Stegostoma tigrinum: one gene and its partner. The protein of the gene in region 1 interacts with the protein of each later gene in a pairwise test. Links are inferred from orthologs where the notes say so. Each region holds a gene or a part of one and is shown in the gene's direction. Other genes may lie near its edges.

Region 1 (7,604 bases):
AAGCCACGCCATCAATCGCATGGCAGTCCAATAAAAGCAGGGCCGGGTTTTGTTCCCACCCTCCTAATGACGGTCAAACTTGTTCCACGTTCATTACACGGACGCTCGCGTCAGCACGTCGTCTCTTTGGATTGGGTTACTTTCCTGTCAATCACACGCAAAAGCCAAATAGAAAGCGTCAGGGGAGGAAGGTCACTGGACCTGAAACGTTAACTTTGTTTTTTCCGTCACAGATGCTGCTGGGCCGTCTGAACTTTCCCAGCAACTTTGTTTTTATTCCTGATCTATCGCATCTGCGGTTCTTTCGGTTTTTAGTAAGCGTTAGTAGTTTATTTTGATACTCCGTCCACAATCTGTTTGGGCTATACCACCGTCAATCATACATATCCGTCCAATCGTGGCAAAGGAAAGCGAGGTTATTGGTTTGAATTGGCGGGCGGGTGTAATCTTCCTACCGCTATAATAACATGGAAAAGGGATAAACACTTTTTTTGTGTTTATCGTTCACACCAGTAACAGCTAGGATTATTTTTAAAATTCGGAAGTCAGTGACAATATAATCTCTCAACAAAGAGGGAACCAAAGCATGAAATAATCAGGTGTGGACTTGGATGAACACAGCAGGCCAAGCAGCATCTTAGGAGCACAAAAGCTGACGTTTCGGGCCTAGACCCTTCATTCCGCCCCCTTGACCGGTCCGCCCTCCCCGGACTGACCTATCCCCGTCCTTACCTCCCCATCTACACTCACCTCTACTGGCTCCACCCCCGCCCCTTTAACTTGTCTGTTTCCACTCCACCTATCTTCTCCTGTACCATCTTCGATCCGCCTCCCCCTCTCCCTACCCGTTTTGTGATTGAAGGGTCTAGGCCCGAAACGTCAGCTTTTGTGCTCCTGAGATGCTGCTTGGCCTGATGTGTTCATCCAGCTCCACACTTTGTTATCTCGGATTCTTCAGCATTTGCAGTTCCCATTATCAATGAAATAATCAGATTATTTTCAGCTATTGAACGTTTTGTGCTTGCTGCTCTTTGGAGTGCGGAGTCTTTTTGATTTTATTTTTGGAACCCAAAGGTTTTATTGCTGCAGTTATGTGTACTGGCACCTGTGCAAGTTTCCACGAAATCAAAGGATGTAAGAACAGAAGTAGGCCATTCAACCAATCTTATCTGCTCTGCTACTGAAAGAAGTCATGGTGATCAGCTATTTCTCAATAATTACCTGCTTTCTCCCCATAACCCTTGATTCTCATTCTTTCCTTCCTATTCAGTACTGCTTCTTAGTTAAAAAGAGATCAGCTGCAGATATGTTCTGTATTTTCTGTTTACACCTTTTCTACACCCATCTTTTGTTTCTTGTCTTGTTGCTATTTCCTTTTGCCTTGCACAAACGTCCTGTTTTGTTACTTAATTTCTTTTGCATTGTTTTTTATTAGTGCAGTTGGCATACACTTTTTCAACACAGCCTTTAAAGTGAAGAAAATCAGAACAACCTTTTTGTGATTATGTATTTACACACAATTAAAATTTTCATTGACACATGAAAGGATTGCACCACCTCAATCATTGAAAATGCTTTGTTGAGGGAAAAAATGCTAAATTCAAAGTTCTAAAATATTTATTTGTGACTCAGTTCCTGCTTAGAAAAAGTTAATGTTGATAATGCAGCATTTGAATTTTTCCAGTGCCCATTTACAGTACAAAAACCAAAAGAACTGCGAATGCTGTAAATCAGGAACAAGAACAAAGTTGCTAGAAAAGCTCAGCAGGACTGGCAACATCTGTGGATGAGAAACCAGTTAACGTTTTGAGTCCAGTGACCCTTCCTCAGTCTGAGGGTCACTGGACCCGAAACGTTAACACTCTCTTCTCCTCCACAGATGCTGCCAGACCTGCTGAGCTTTTCCAGCAACTTTGTTCTTGTTCCCATTTACAGTATGTTTTATTTAGTGTATTATTTAGTGTAACAAAGTTCAGCCAACATTTATTTTTGATGGATTTAATGAAGTTTCTTTATCTGAAATTTATCTGGTCAAACAATTGCCTACTACTGTTTTGATTGCTCATTCCATCACTCTTTCAATTGATCCGAAGCTAAATGGTCAAATAATATAATTTCTTATTCAAATCTATTGACCATATGTTTGTTTTCAGATTTTATTACCAGAATAACATTTATAATTTTCAACTCTTAATTTCAGATGCTTACCGTTCTCTCAACTTCTTCCCAGTCCAAGCTCTTCAGCTTCTGTTTCCTACTTTCCACTTTCTCGGAACAACTTTCGTTCAGGGTAGAATTTTCAGAACTTAAGGTCATCACACTGTTTTGGTGTGTGTATCCTGGGGTTAGGTACTGCATAGCCAGTTGGAGAAAGTTGCTTTGAACAACTGGTACAGGGCAAAGAGCAAGAGCCAAGTATTTGGTTTTCAATATGGCAGTACCATTAAGAATTGGGGAGGGATCTGGCTAAAGTTATACCAAAACCAAGGTAAAAGGAAAATGCTGTAAACTCTGGAAATCTGAAATAAACAAAGCACTGAAGAAACTCAGCATATCTAGTAGCATCTTTTGGAGTGGGAGAGAGAGAGAGAGTTAATTTTGAGTCATTTTGGACTTGAACAGCTATTGCATTCTTTGATTGTATACTCATCTTTACAGAAACCTCAATTCCTGAATTCAAAAGTTCCTGCAGATAATATTTGAAAAACACAGCCAGTTTATCAACATGCATTAGGAAGAATCACATATTAGTGTTTTAGGTTTGAGCTCATTATCAAAATTATTTTGGATTCAAAAATACAATTTGAGCTTTCTGTTGCCCTATAGCGGAGTATTGGAGCAGAACTTTGACAGTATACATTTGTACATCCTCTGGACATTATTTTTACTTGTACCATTACCACTCCCTCTAGCTGTTACCCACAAAATCTTTCGTCATTTAATATATCTTGTAACCCCTAACCCATCTCAGACATTTTTGTTCTTTTTCCATTCTTCCTCTTTTCACCTTTCAACAGATACTGCATTATATTTCTAACCTTTTCCAGTTCTGTTGAAAGGTCACAACCTAAACTGTTAACTGTTAAATGCCTCTCTCTCTGCAGATACTATGAGACCTGCTGAGTATTTACAGCATTTTTTGTTGTTAGACTGGGTTTACATGTGATGATCATCCTCAATCATACTTGAGACAACAAATTTCACTTGAAGCTTTTAACTGTAAACAAATTATAAATTTTGTGCTTTTCCTTGGGGAACAATTCCAATTAAAATACTGATTGGTACTAATTATGTTTTTCTTGACCACTAGAGATTGTAGAAACAAAGAAGAGTGGAGTAGGTCATTCAACCCCCTCGTGGGCTGATCATTGGACTCAGTAGGCTAATCTCACCCTCTTCCCCCAAATCCCTTGCTCTCTTTAGCCACATGACTATATTTACCTCCTCCTTGAAAAGAATAATGCTCTTCAATTAGCTAATGAGAGGTATTTTTCATGTCTCAATTTTAAAATGATATGTCTTCTTCAGATTCTTTATATAATCACATACATGGTACTTAATTATACACTTTATAGGTTAATACAATGTGACTATCTAGTTCATTATTCATATGTTTTAGAATATAACTTTTGTTTTGGAAATTTGAGTTTAGTTGCAGATGAATGGTCCATCTGATTGAGAAACTGATATTCATTTCAACTAATTCAATTCAAACAAATTTGGAGTTAATGAGATAACAAGGTGCAGAGCTGGATGAACACAACAGGACAAGCAACATCAGTGGAGCAGGAAGGCTAACGTTTTGGGTCCTGAAACATCAGCTTTCCTGCTCCTCTGATGCTGTTTGGCCTGCTGTGTTCATCCAGCTCTATACCTTGTTACCTCAGATTCTCCAGCATCGCAGGTCCTATTATCTCTGTAAGCTTGGAGTTAATCACAATTAAAAGCTAACTTATGTTTATGTTGGAAGTGTAAAATTTAAGCAATGAATGAAATCATCTCATACTTTGTAATGGAGTCAGAAAGTTTGCTTTCTCTTCCCCTATTCTCTCTGCTGAAGGCACACCCATCTTTATTATAGACAGGTTCTGAATCCATCCCAGCTGGATGTGAATTAATTTCCATGCTTGTGGCACCAATTTGATCCATATGGAAACAGAGAGTCGGTCCAACCCTTCCACACCAACTAGATATCCTAAATTAATCTAGTCCCATTTGCCATCCCATATCCCAAACCCTCCCTATTCATATAACCATGTAGATTGCCTTTTAAATGTTGTCATTGTATCAGCCTCCACCACTTCCTCTGGCAGTTCACTCCATCCATGCGTGAAAAATTTGCCCCTTCAGTCCCTTGCAAATCTTTTCCTTCTCACCTTAAACCTATGCCTAAATGAATATTGATAAAACGGTAAGGAAACGGTCTGAGTGGGGAATGAATGGTTGGGGGAAGGACGCAGTGTGTCAGCTGACAGCGCTGTTGCGGTTGTTGCTAGGCAGCCGCGTCACGCCGAAGTTGGCACGCGTTAGTGACGTAGTCGCGCACGGCGGCGGTTGGTGGAGCGGGCCTGAGAACGGCCTGGTTGGATCAGTTTATCCCGACCCAGAGGAGAGACCCAGCGCAATGAGCAACCCGTTCGTCAGACGGACCCAGGACACCCTGGGAAAAGTGATCAAGAAGCCGCCACTGACGGAGAAGCTGCTTAGCAAGCCGCCTTTCCGCTATCTGCACGACATCTTCACCGAGGTGAGCGCCGACGAGTTCCCCGAGCACTGAGACAAGGCCCGGTGGGGCGACCCTGGTTGCTAGGGACTCAATCGCCTGCTCCGATCCTTAGTTGTCGCGCACATCCGCCCGGGGACCCGCCTTTATCACAACGCAGCCAACAAGGAATATTAAGTATCCTTGAGAAGCTTGTGTGCGGGTCAGTTTCCAATGTACCGTTTCTATGTGGATGGCTCAAATCCCCTACCTTTGGTAGGACAAGGACCCTCTTGTGGAATCTTTCAGTAGTTCTGAACGATGGCAGTATGTTTCTGCTCAAACGGATGCTTGTTCATGACAACAGGCAAACTCAACACATCTGGTAATACTCGTAATCAATCCTCTTCACAGTTAAGGCATCCGAAACACCGCTTTTCCTGTCTTGAGCTCAATTAAAGCGCCCTTCCTCTATTTCCCATATGCTTGCTGATCTACATTGTCTCCTGCACAAACAACGCCACGATTTTAAAATTCTCATCCTTTCAAATCTATTCGTGGAATTGCCTCTCTCCGTGGCCTCCTTTTGCCACATGATGTACAGGCTCCGCGCTCCTCTAAGATAATAAGATGCAGATGCTGGAGTGAGAAATAACATCGTGTGGAGCTGGAGGAACACAGTGGGCCGGGCAGCATCAGAGGAGCAGGAGAGTTGACGTTTCGGGTAGGGACCTTTCTTCCGAAAGGCTTCAGCGTCCAGCTCTGCGCTCCTTTAATTCTGATCTCTACTCTTTCAACAGCTCCAGTGTTGATTGCGCAGCCATTAGTGGTTGCGTCACGGCTGCTAAGACTTGACGTTCTGGAAGACCATCCTTAATCTTCTGCACCTTTTATGAATATTTTAGCTGGCTGTTTGGCTCTGCAAGTCTATTCCAATATTCAATAACATCAAAACTAATTTGGTGTGCCAGCAACTCCACATTCACCTGTACCAACCTGGTAACTTTTGATCCTGTATTAATCTAAAATCTCATCATCTGTCTAAAATGAGAGAGCTCCATATTTTAAATTGTCCCCCATAGTTCTAGACTCTCCCATAAGGACAAGCATCCTTTCAACATTCCTATCACTTTCTTTCTCAAAACCTAACGCTTTGACCATTGCCCTAATATTTTATGTGGCTTAGCATAGAGTTTTGCTTTGTTCCTGTAATGCATCTTTATTGCTTTAAATGTGACATATGTGACTGGTGCTGGTTCTCGACTTCCATTAACTATAAAAATGATGACTGAAGATTGATTTTTGCCCATGTAGTGCCCTGCACACAATGTACTCATTGTTCCATGTATACTTAGAACATAGAACATAGAATATGGAACATTACAGCACATTACAGGCCCTTCGGCCCTTGATGTTGTGTCGACCCGTCATACCAATCTAACCTACACTATTCCATGTACATCCATATGCTTGTCCGATGACAACTTAAATGTATTTAAAGTTGGTGAATCTACTACTATTGCAGGCAAAGCGTTCCATACCCTTACTACTCTCTGAGTAAAGAAACTACCTCTGACATCTGTCCTATATCCTTCACCCCCCAATTTAAAGCCAGGCCCCCTTGTGCTCGCCGTCACCATCCTAGGAAAAAGGCTCTCCCTATCCACCCTATCTAACCCTCTGATTATCTTATATGTCTCAATTAAGTCACCTCTCAACCTTCTCTCTAATGAAAACAGCCTCAAGTCACTCAGCCTTTCCTCGTAAGACCTTCCCTCCATACCAGGCAACATCCTAGTAAATCTCCTCTGCACCCTTTCCAAAGCTCCCACATCCTTCTTATAATACGGTGACCAGAACTGTACGCAATACTCCAAGTGCGGCTGCACCAGAGTTTTGTACAGCTGCAGCATAACCTCGTGGTTCTGGAACTCGATCCCTCTATTAATAAAAGCTAAAACACTATGCCGCCTTAACAACCCTGTCAACCTGGGTGGCATCTTCACTAAAACTTAACTTCGAGTCATAGAGATGTACAGCATGGAAACAGACCCTTCAGTCCAACTTGTCCGTCCTGGCCAGGTATCCTAAATAAATCTAGTCCCATGTCCCTCTAAACCTTTCCTATTCAAATACCCATCCAGATACCTTTTAAATATTGTAATTGTGCCAACCTCCACAGTTTCCTCTGGCAGCTCATTCCATACGTGCACCACCCTCTGTGTGAAAATGCTGCTGCTTAGATCCCTTTTACTTCTTTCTCCCCTCACTTCAAACATATGCTGTCTAGTTTTGGACTCTGCCACCGCAGGGAAAAGACCTTTAGCTATTTACCCTATCCATGCCCCTCATGATTTTATACACCTCTGTAAGGTTACCCCTTAGTGTCTGATGCTCCAGGGAAAATAGCCCCAGTTTATTCAGCCTCTCCCTGTTGCTCAAACCCTCCGACTCTGACAACATCCCTGTAAATCTTTTCTGAACTCTTTCAAGTTTCACAACATCTTTCTCATAGCAGGGAGACCAGAATTGCACACAATATTCCAATAGTAGCCTAACCAATATCCTGTACAGCTGCAACATGACCTCCCAACTCAATGCACTGACTGATAAAGTCAAGCATACCGAATGCCTTCTTCACTATCCTATCTACCTGCATCTTCATTTTCAAGGAACTAGGAGCCTGTACTTCATGGTTTCTTCATCCAGCAACATTCCCCAGGACCTTACAATTAAGTGTATAAGTTCTGCCCTGATTTGCCTCTCCAAAATGCAGCACCTCGCATTTATCCAAATTAAACTCTGTGCTATTCCTCTGCCCATTGGCTCATCTGGTCAAGATCCTGTTGTACTCTGAGACAACCTTGTTCGCTGTCCACCGCACCTCCAATTTTGGTATGAA
Region 2 (7,380 bases), on another chromosome or scaffold:
AGACCACCCCCCCCCTCCCGCCAAACACCAACCCCCCTCCCCACCATGGCTTATGATCGTTTGAGGCAGAGGAAGTTCGTTCAGGAAGGCCCTGAGCACCTTCAGAGCCTTCCTCAGGAAGGTGCTCAGGTGAAATCAAGGTTTTGAGGGGCTGCATAAACTTGCCCACACATCACCCCCAGACTGCCTATCACTCCAAACCTTCGCACCACACTCTACCCTCCCCGGCCACCCAATTAGGGTGTCCGCACATCCTGGAATGGACTTTAACAGGTTTGAAAGGAAGACAATGACCACCCACTGGATCTCTACAAACGGCTCTCCATGTCCAACAATGAAGGCCAGAAGTATTGTGTAGGCTTCTGTCAAAAAATACAGATGAGAGCAGTAATAGAATCCCTGCAGTGTAGAAAGAGGCTATTCAAATCTGTACTGACCCAGCAAACCATCCAGACCCAGCTCTAACCCCATAACTCTGCATTCCATGACCAACCCACCTAGCCTGTACATTCCCAGACACTACAGGGCATTAGCATGGCCAATCCACCGAGCCTGCACATCTTTGGAATGTGGGAGGAAACCAGAGCACCCAGAGGAAACCCACACAGATACAGAGAGAATGTGCAAACTCCACACAGACAGTCGCCCGAGGGTGGAGTTGAACCCAGGTCCTTGGTGCTTTGAGGCTGCAGTGCTAACCACTGAGCCCAGTGATGAAGAGAAATAATGAACAGAAGTTCTGGCATAATGGAATGAAATAGTTTTTAATAACAAATACTTTATCAGCGCATTCAGACATGAAAAAGAATCGCATATGCTCACTCAGGTATTCACTCGAAAATTCAGTCGCGTCTCTAATTGTCTCTGTATTGGTCACTTCTTTTTTGCTGCAATTTTATTCTGTCTAAAAATAATTCTGATTGCCAATAGCAGCTAACCCTTGACTCTTATTTCCTTGCAAATAAATGGAAAATATTCATGGGCTGACATATGTAACTGGGAAAAGTGTCTGGAAATAGCTCCCAGCCTGACATTGCTGAGTGTTTGGGAGAAAACCCAGAATAGCACAATCTAATCAATTTCAGAGATTTTCCGGGCAGAAGGTTGGATTGTTTGTTTATGTCACAGGACCTTTTGGCTTTAGAGTTAATAGAAGTTTTTTTTAGGAGAAGCACAGACACTGGTAGAGCGCTCAGAATGTTTAGCCTGAGCAGTTAATGTTTGAGGTCAGTTTGTTCTAAAGTTTCCCATGTGTCAAAATGACCGCAGCATATACAAGGGGATGGCCAGGAATTCTCTCAAAGTTGGAATTACAATTTGGAAGATTCATGCTTTCACTTAATGTAACAATGGTTTGGGTCGGAGATTTGAACAAAGGTTGTACTGGTAATAATCTGTTGTAAGACACTCTTAAGCTGCTGTTTGGTCAGGAGTGATCTGTAATGGAGAATGAATCAATATGGGTTTGTGAAGCATTTATCCAGTGACATGTAGATGCAGTTCACAGGAAGAGAAGGAGGTGTTCAGTCTTTCGAGTTTGTCTCTGTCACTATTTAGTGAGATTACCCTGATCTCTGAGTTAAATCCATGCATCCATCTTTGCCAAACCTACCTTAATGCTTCTGGCTAAAATCCAATCAGTCTCTGATTAATAAAATTTAACAATTGACTCAACACTGGTTGTCTTACACTGAGGGCAGTTCCAAATTTGTCAAAGATAAGAAATAAGAACAGAAGCAGGCCATTCAGCCCTTCCCTGCCATTCTATAAACTTACAAAAACTCTACAAATAAATTAAACCCCAGGCCTCAACTCTTCCTTTGTGCTAACTCCTCAAGGCCTTTATCTCCCCAATATTTCAAACACCCATCTCCAACCCTTTCACACACTTCTGGCGATCTAGCCTCCACAGCTCAGAAGTGGAGAATTCCAGGCATTCACTACCCCTTCTGAGAGAAGACATTCCTTTACAAAATTCCCTTCCTTCCTAGTTTGATATTCCCCTTGTTGTAGAAGCTTCTTCTGAACATCTACTTATCACGACCCCTCATAGAGGTCATAGAGGTCTACAGCACAGGAAAATGGCCCTTCAGCCCATCAAGTCTGCCCCAGTCATAAACAAGCACGTAACCATTCCACTCCTATTTTACAGCACTTGGCCCATAGCCTTGTATGTTTCAATAAAATCACCCTTCATTCTTCTAAACTCTAATAAATAAGGGTCAAACTTGTTTAATCTTTCCTGATAAGCCTCTTCTTTTTAAGATTCACCAGAGAGGTTTATCCTGTTAACCATACAAGCTCGTAGACTCTTTGTAGAAAGGAGAATTGGTGCAGAATGTTAACCTAAAGCTTCCCTGGCATTGGTTGATTCTTTAATGCATACAACAATCAACATTGTACGGGTACATGAATCAGGGAAGGGTGGGCAGGCTGGATCTTGTCTTTCTAGAAAAAAGAAAGCTGTAAAGTGAGCTAACGGAACTCTGTAAAATGATGAAAGGCAATAATAAGATAGAGATTGTTTCTTCTTGTGGAGAAGAATAAAACTAGCAGCCATCCCCTTTGAACAAGGTGCAAGGAATCCAGTTGGCAGCACAGGTCGCCAAGGTGATGAAGAAGGCATGTGGCATGCTTGCCTTCATCAGCCAGGGCATGGAGTACAAGAGTTGGCAAACCATGTTGCAGCGATTATAAAACCCTTTGTTAGGCTGCATTTGGAGCGTTGTGTGCAGCTTTGGTCACCACACTACCAGAAGGACGTGGAGAGAGCGCAGAGAAAGTTCACCAGGATGTTGCTCAGTCTCAAGGGCATTGGCCATGAGGAAGATCAAAAAAATTCGTATTGTTTTTACTGGAAAGATGGCAGCTGAGAGGTGACCTGATAGAGGCCTACAAAATTATGCGAGGCGTAGATAGGGTGGATAATCAGAGGCTTCTTCCCTGGGCTGAAGTTTCATTTGCAGTGGGGCACAGGTTCAAGGTGAGAGGGGAATGTTTAAGGGAGATGTGCGAGGGAAGTTGTCACACAGAGAGTGTAGGAACCTGGAAAGCACTGCCAGAAAAGGTGGTGGAAACAGGCACATTAGCGACATTTAAGAGGCTTCTGGATGGTTACATGAACAGAGAGAGAACAGAGGGATGCGGTTCGAATAAGGGCAGGTTTGTTTTTTAAGATTAGTTAGGCCACTTGACCCGAAACGTTAACTTTGATCTCTCTCCTCAGATGCTGCCAGACTTGTTGAGCTTTTCCAGCAACTTCTGCTTTTGTTTCTGATTTACAGTATCTGCAGATTTTTGGTTTTCCTAACAGAAGTAGATTTGTTGGCCATTTTGTTGGTGGGAGCTTGCTATGTGCAAATGGCAACAGTTCACTGGTTATGAAATGCTTTAGAACATGTATCCGCTAACAGTGTTGTACAAATGCAAATCTATTTTATTAATAACTGGCGGTAAGATTAATATTTACTTCTTTGAAATCTTTGCCTCAGAAATAATTACTTGAAAGAAGATTAGAGATTTAATTGGAAATCGTAATTGGTTTATAACGTAATGATAAAAATCTTTAATAAGCAGTGCACATACTCTTGTAAAATTGCACACTATATATTCTCCAGGGCAAAACATATTGACAGTTGATCACCAGATAATAGTGACTTTCTCGTGCACATGTCAACTTCATTTTCACATAAGAATGTCAATTATTTTTCCTCCCTAGTCTAGATCTGCTCTCTATCAAGTGAACATGAAACAGAATATTTCAGTTTCAACTTCTGGTTATCTTAGTGTTTGAAGCCAGTGGCCATCTTCAGAAGTGGAATTTCATGTAACATTTCACGGCCAATATTTTAGGAAATGTCAAAGTTGATTGGCCGACAGGAACAGGAAGCAGATGATGATTGAATGCAATTAAGAAAGAATTAATTTCAGCAACCAGGCTGTAACGTCTTTACAGTGAAAGCGATATGCCATTTTCAGGTTATTTTGTAAATGAGATTAATCTCGAATGCAGATTGAGAACAATCTGTTGGCTCTGTTTTACTGGGGCTCTGTGTATACAAGGTACTTGGTGCCATTGACCCTAAATAGTAAAATGGAATGTCAAGGGAATGTTGGCAGAAAAACAACGTTGAGAGTTAATTTTTCCCGAGACACAGTTCTGGCAGTCACACAACCCAACTGAACTCATTAGTGCTTCTTTCCTATTCAGAAAAGAAGTGAACATTGGGAGTAGCCTTTTGTTTGTTATGACAGACTTGAATGAAGGCTTTTTCTCATCTGTGTAACTTGAAGATGTATTGCTGGACCTGAAGTTGCACTGTGTTTGTACTTTCTGGACAGCACACTCCTGAGCTCTCTGAGGAGCACTTCTTATGGGAAAGAAGAAAAGTTGATGTTGGCTTCATCCCTCTTCCTTTGGCTCCAGAAACTGCAAAACCAAGTAAAAGCAAAACTTTTGAGTGTCGTTTTCAATTTGCAGTACTGACAGGGGAGCAAAACTCAAGAGAATCATTTTGAACTCGACGGGGTTTCAATTGTGATTCAATGGCTACAGTTTTGTTCAGCTTTGAAGATTTGCTGTATAACTGGGATAGTCTGGTCTGGAACTTTACAGCCCGAGCTCTGAGGAATTGGCGGTTTGGTAATCTCCGTGCAGTTCAGCTGCTCCTGAGACCATGGTGTGTCTCCCGGAATGTTTACCAGGTGGGGAATTTCACTTAGTACCAGAACTGTACTGACTGGCTATGCTTAGGTCAATACTGTGTTAAACACAGCACAGCTTCTGCAAAGCCTACCCTAGTACTTATTTATCGAAAGGGATATAGACTGAATTTTAAGAATTAAAAATAGCATATTTTGCTTAAAGTTCATTTGAGGCAGGGGGCTATATTATTGAAGGTACAGTCTGCTTTAGTTTGTTTTACTTTATTGCCTTGAAGTTAGTTTGCACTGTATGTAAAAGACTTTAGCAAGTAAATAAATTCTTAACAGAATCCACCTCCTCCAATTTAAAGTCTGATGGCCAATAGTGATAAAATACATGTGGAAAGTCAAAGCTATTTCAGTAAATCGACAATCTGAAATTCAATTTTTTTTTGTTGAACCTAAAGCCGAGGGAGTTGGTAACGGAACAGCTGAATGCTGATCCTGGAATCTCTCACACTTTGCAGGTGACCCTTCTCTGAACCTGAGATGAAGGCTGGGGAGGGGGAGCTGTGGTCCATGGGAAGGTGCTATTACTGATGGTGAGGAAGCCATGGATTGGGACAAACACTTCTGCTCCTCTCCACTCGCCATTAGCGATTTAAAAACATGCATTGAACCCCTCCGCTGACAAATATATATTCATTCCTGTACCCTTGTGAAAGAATGTTTGTCTCGGCTTCAGATGAGTAAATGATAGGAAGCTTGCACCATGTAGCCATGAGCCGGTTTCTGCACTGTGTCCTCACTCAATGAAGGGAATGGGGCATCAGTCAGAGCAGCATCTTCTCAAGTCTTTGAGACACCAATTTTCTGACTTCAGGCCCTCGGTCACATAACGCAGGGTTTAACACGTGTTAATTGGCTGGAGACAACCCCTCAAGAATCTATTGGAAGGAGGTTGGATAAAATTGGGTTTTATTGCAGCCACTTTACATGCTTAACAAAGGTCAGCAGTGTCCAGTTTCTGCCGCCAGGTATTGACCATTTGAAGATGTGCATATGCCTGTTAAATACACTGCAGAAGGAGCAGGGACCTGAGCTGAAAGGTCCTCTACACATCCGGAAGTATTGGTGACATCTTGCATTGTCAAGCATCAAACCATAGAAGGGTCCCTGGGTCCTGTGTCCTCTGTTTGTCAACGCAGAGAGTGCTGGAGAAGCTCAGCAAGTCTGGTAGCATCTGTGGGGAGAGAAGCAGAGCTAATATTTTGAATTCAATATGCCTGTTCTTCAGAACAAACTGTTGTTTTCTCCACTTGAGATAGAGATTGTCTCCCACTTCAGTTTCTGGTAGACAAAGAAAGCTTGTAAAATCCTGACAGTAATTTCCTTGAAGATATCCAGGAGATACCCTCTAAAAGAGGGTTACAGATAAAGCAATCCCACTTGCACTGCAAACGTAACCCCTGGTTCCTGCAGCTCAAATGGGAACACAAAGTGACATCTTCTTTCAGTACACAATATAAGCAAATCAATTCCTCATCCATTAGTGGATAGTCTGCTGGGAAGCTGACTTTGTTCTGATGATAGCCTTGCACCTGGTCTTCATTCTTCCACATTTACTAAATGTTAAAGTCTTTGTTTTCCTGCTAATCAAGATGAAACAAGGAAGGAACTTATAAAATGCTTCGGGTGACTGTCAGTGCAGAGTTTGCACATTCTCCCCAGTGTCTGCGTGGGTTTCCTCCGGGTGCTCTGGTTTCCTCCCACAGTCCAAAGGTGTGCAAGTTAAGGTGGGTTGGCCATGGGAAATGCAGGGTTACAAGGATAGGGTAGGGGGCTGGGATGGGCCTGGGTGGGATGCTTTTTGGAGAGTCAGTGTGGACTCGGGCCGATTGGCTTGCTTCCACGCCATAGGTATTCTGTGATTCTATGATCTGTGGAAGTAAACAGAGGCTTTTAAAATTTAGATGCTAAGGTGTTTGCTTAAAATTCTATATTGCTGAAACAAATGAAGCGATGTTTGAATTTGCAAGAGCAAAAAGAGCTCATAAAACGTATCATCCAGAAAAGAAAATGTCAACACTTCGGTTGTTTGATCAAAGCTGAGAAGCCATGGAGATGGTTTTTGAGGGTAAAATGCAAGGCAGCTGAAAGAGAGTTAGACCTTAGCATTTTTGGATGATGATATCACAGGACAGTTCCAGATGAGCTACAATGGAGTGTGAGGATGGGGTAACCCAGGCAGGTGTGGCACCACGACAGCAGATTTCCTGACAGGAACAGAGCAGGATGCTGCTGTAAGTGAAAAGTGCAATATTACAGTCCATCTACTCTCCTTGGACCATGTCCTCTCAGGTCCATGTACTATTGGTATACATTGCCTCTGTTCTGTCCCCATTGCTGGTTCTCAGCTGCCTCGCACCTCAGACAAGTTCACACTGTTTGGTTTTTGCTGCTGCTCAGCGTTAGGGATGTGATTTTCAATCTAGTTGGCCGCACCCCCCCCCCCCCCCCACCCCCCGCAACTTCTTGGATTGAGTGTTCCCCTCTTCCTTTCACAGAAAAGAGAGAGAAGGCTTCTATTTCTTTAACCACAGCTGCATTGTTTGCTGTATCATGTCCCCTTATTTGCTGTCCAAGATCTCTATGCTGTTCTAATTCCTGCCTCATGAGCGTCTTTGATTCTTTTTGTTAATAGCTCCATCTCTGGCAGCCATGTCTTCCAGTAAC

Evidence for each region. The genes of interacting proteins can lie anywhere in the genome.
Region 2: the proteins of traf3ip1 (region 1) and frmd4a interact in a two-hybrid assay, tested with the Homo sapiens proteins (2 studies listed by BioGRID and IntAct). The link is inferred for Stegostoma tigrinum from reciprocal best matches to the Homo sapiens genes TRAF3IP1 and FRMD4A.

Annotation. Positions count from the first base shown.
Region 1 is NC_081360.1:20,757,367-20,764,970, forward strand, and holds the start of traf3ip1 (TRAF3-interacting protein 1), read left to right. Parts: upstream 1-4,539; 5' UTR 4,540-4,624; coding exon 4,625-4,747; intron 4,748-4,760; exon of another isoform or gene 4,761-5,087; intron 5,088-5,093; exon of another isoform or gene 5,094-5,426; intron 5,427-7,604.
Region 2 is NC_081378.1:4,103,025-4,110,404, forward strand, and holds the start of frmd4a (FERM domain-containing protein 4A), read left to right. Parts: upstream 1-4,274; 5' UTR 4,275-4,545; coding exon 4,546-4,704; intron 4,705-7,380. UniProt on the Homo sapiens protein: Scaffolding protein that regulates epithelial cell polarity by connecting ARF6 activation with the PAR3 complex. Plays a redundant role with FRMD4B in epithelial polarization. May regulate MAPT secretion by activating ARF6-signaling.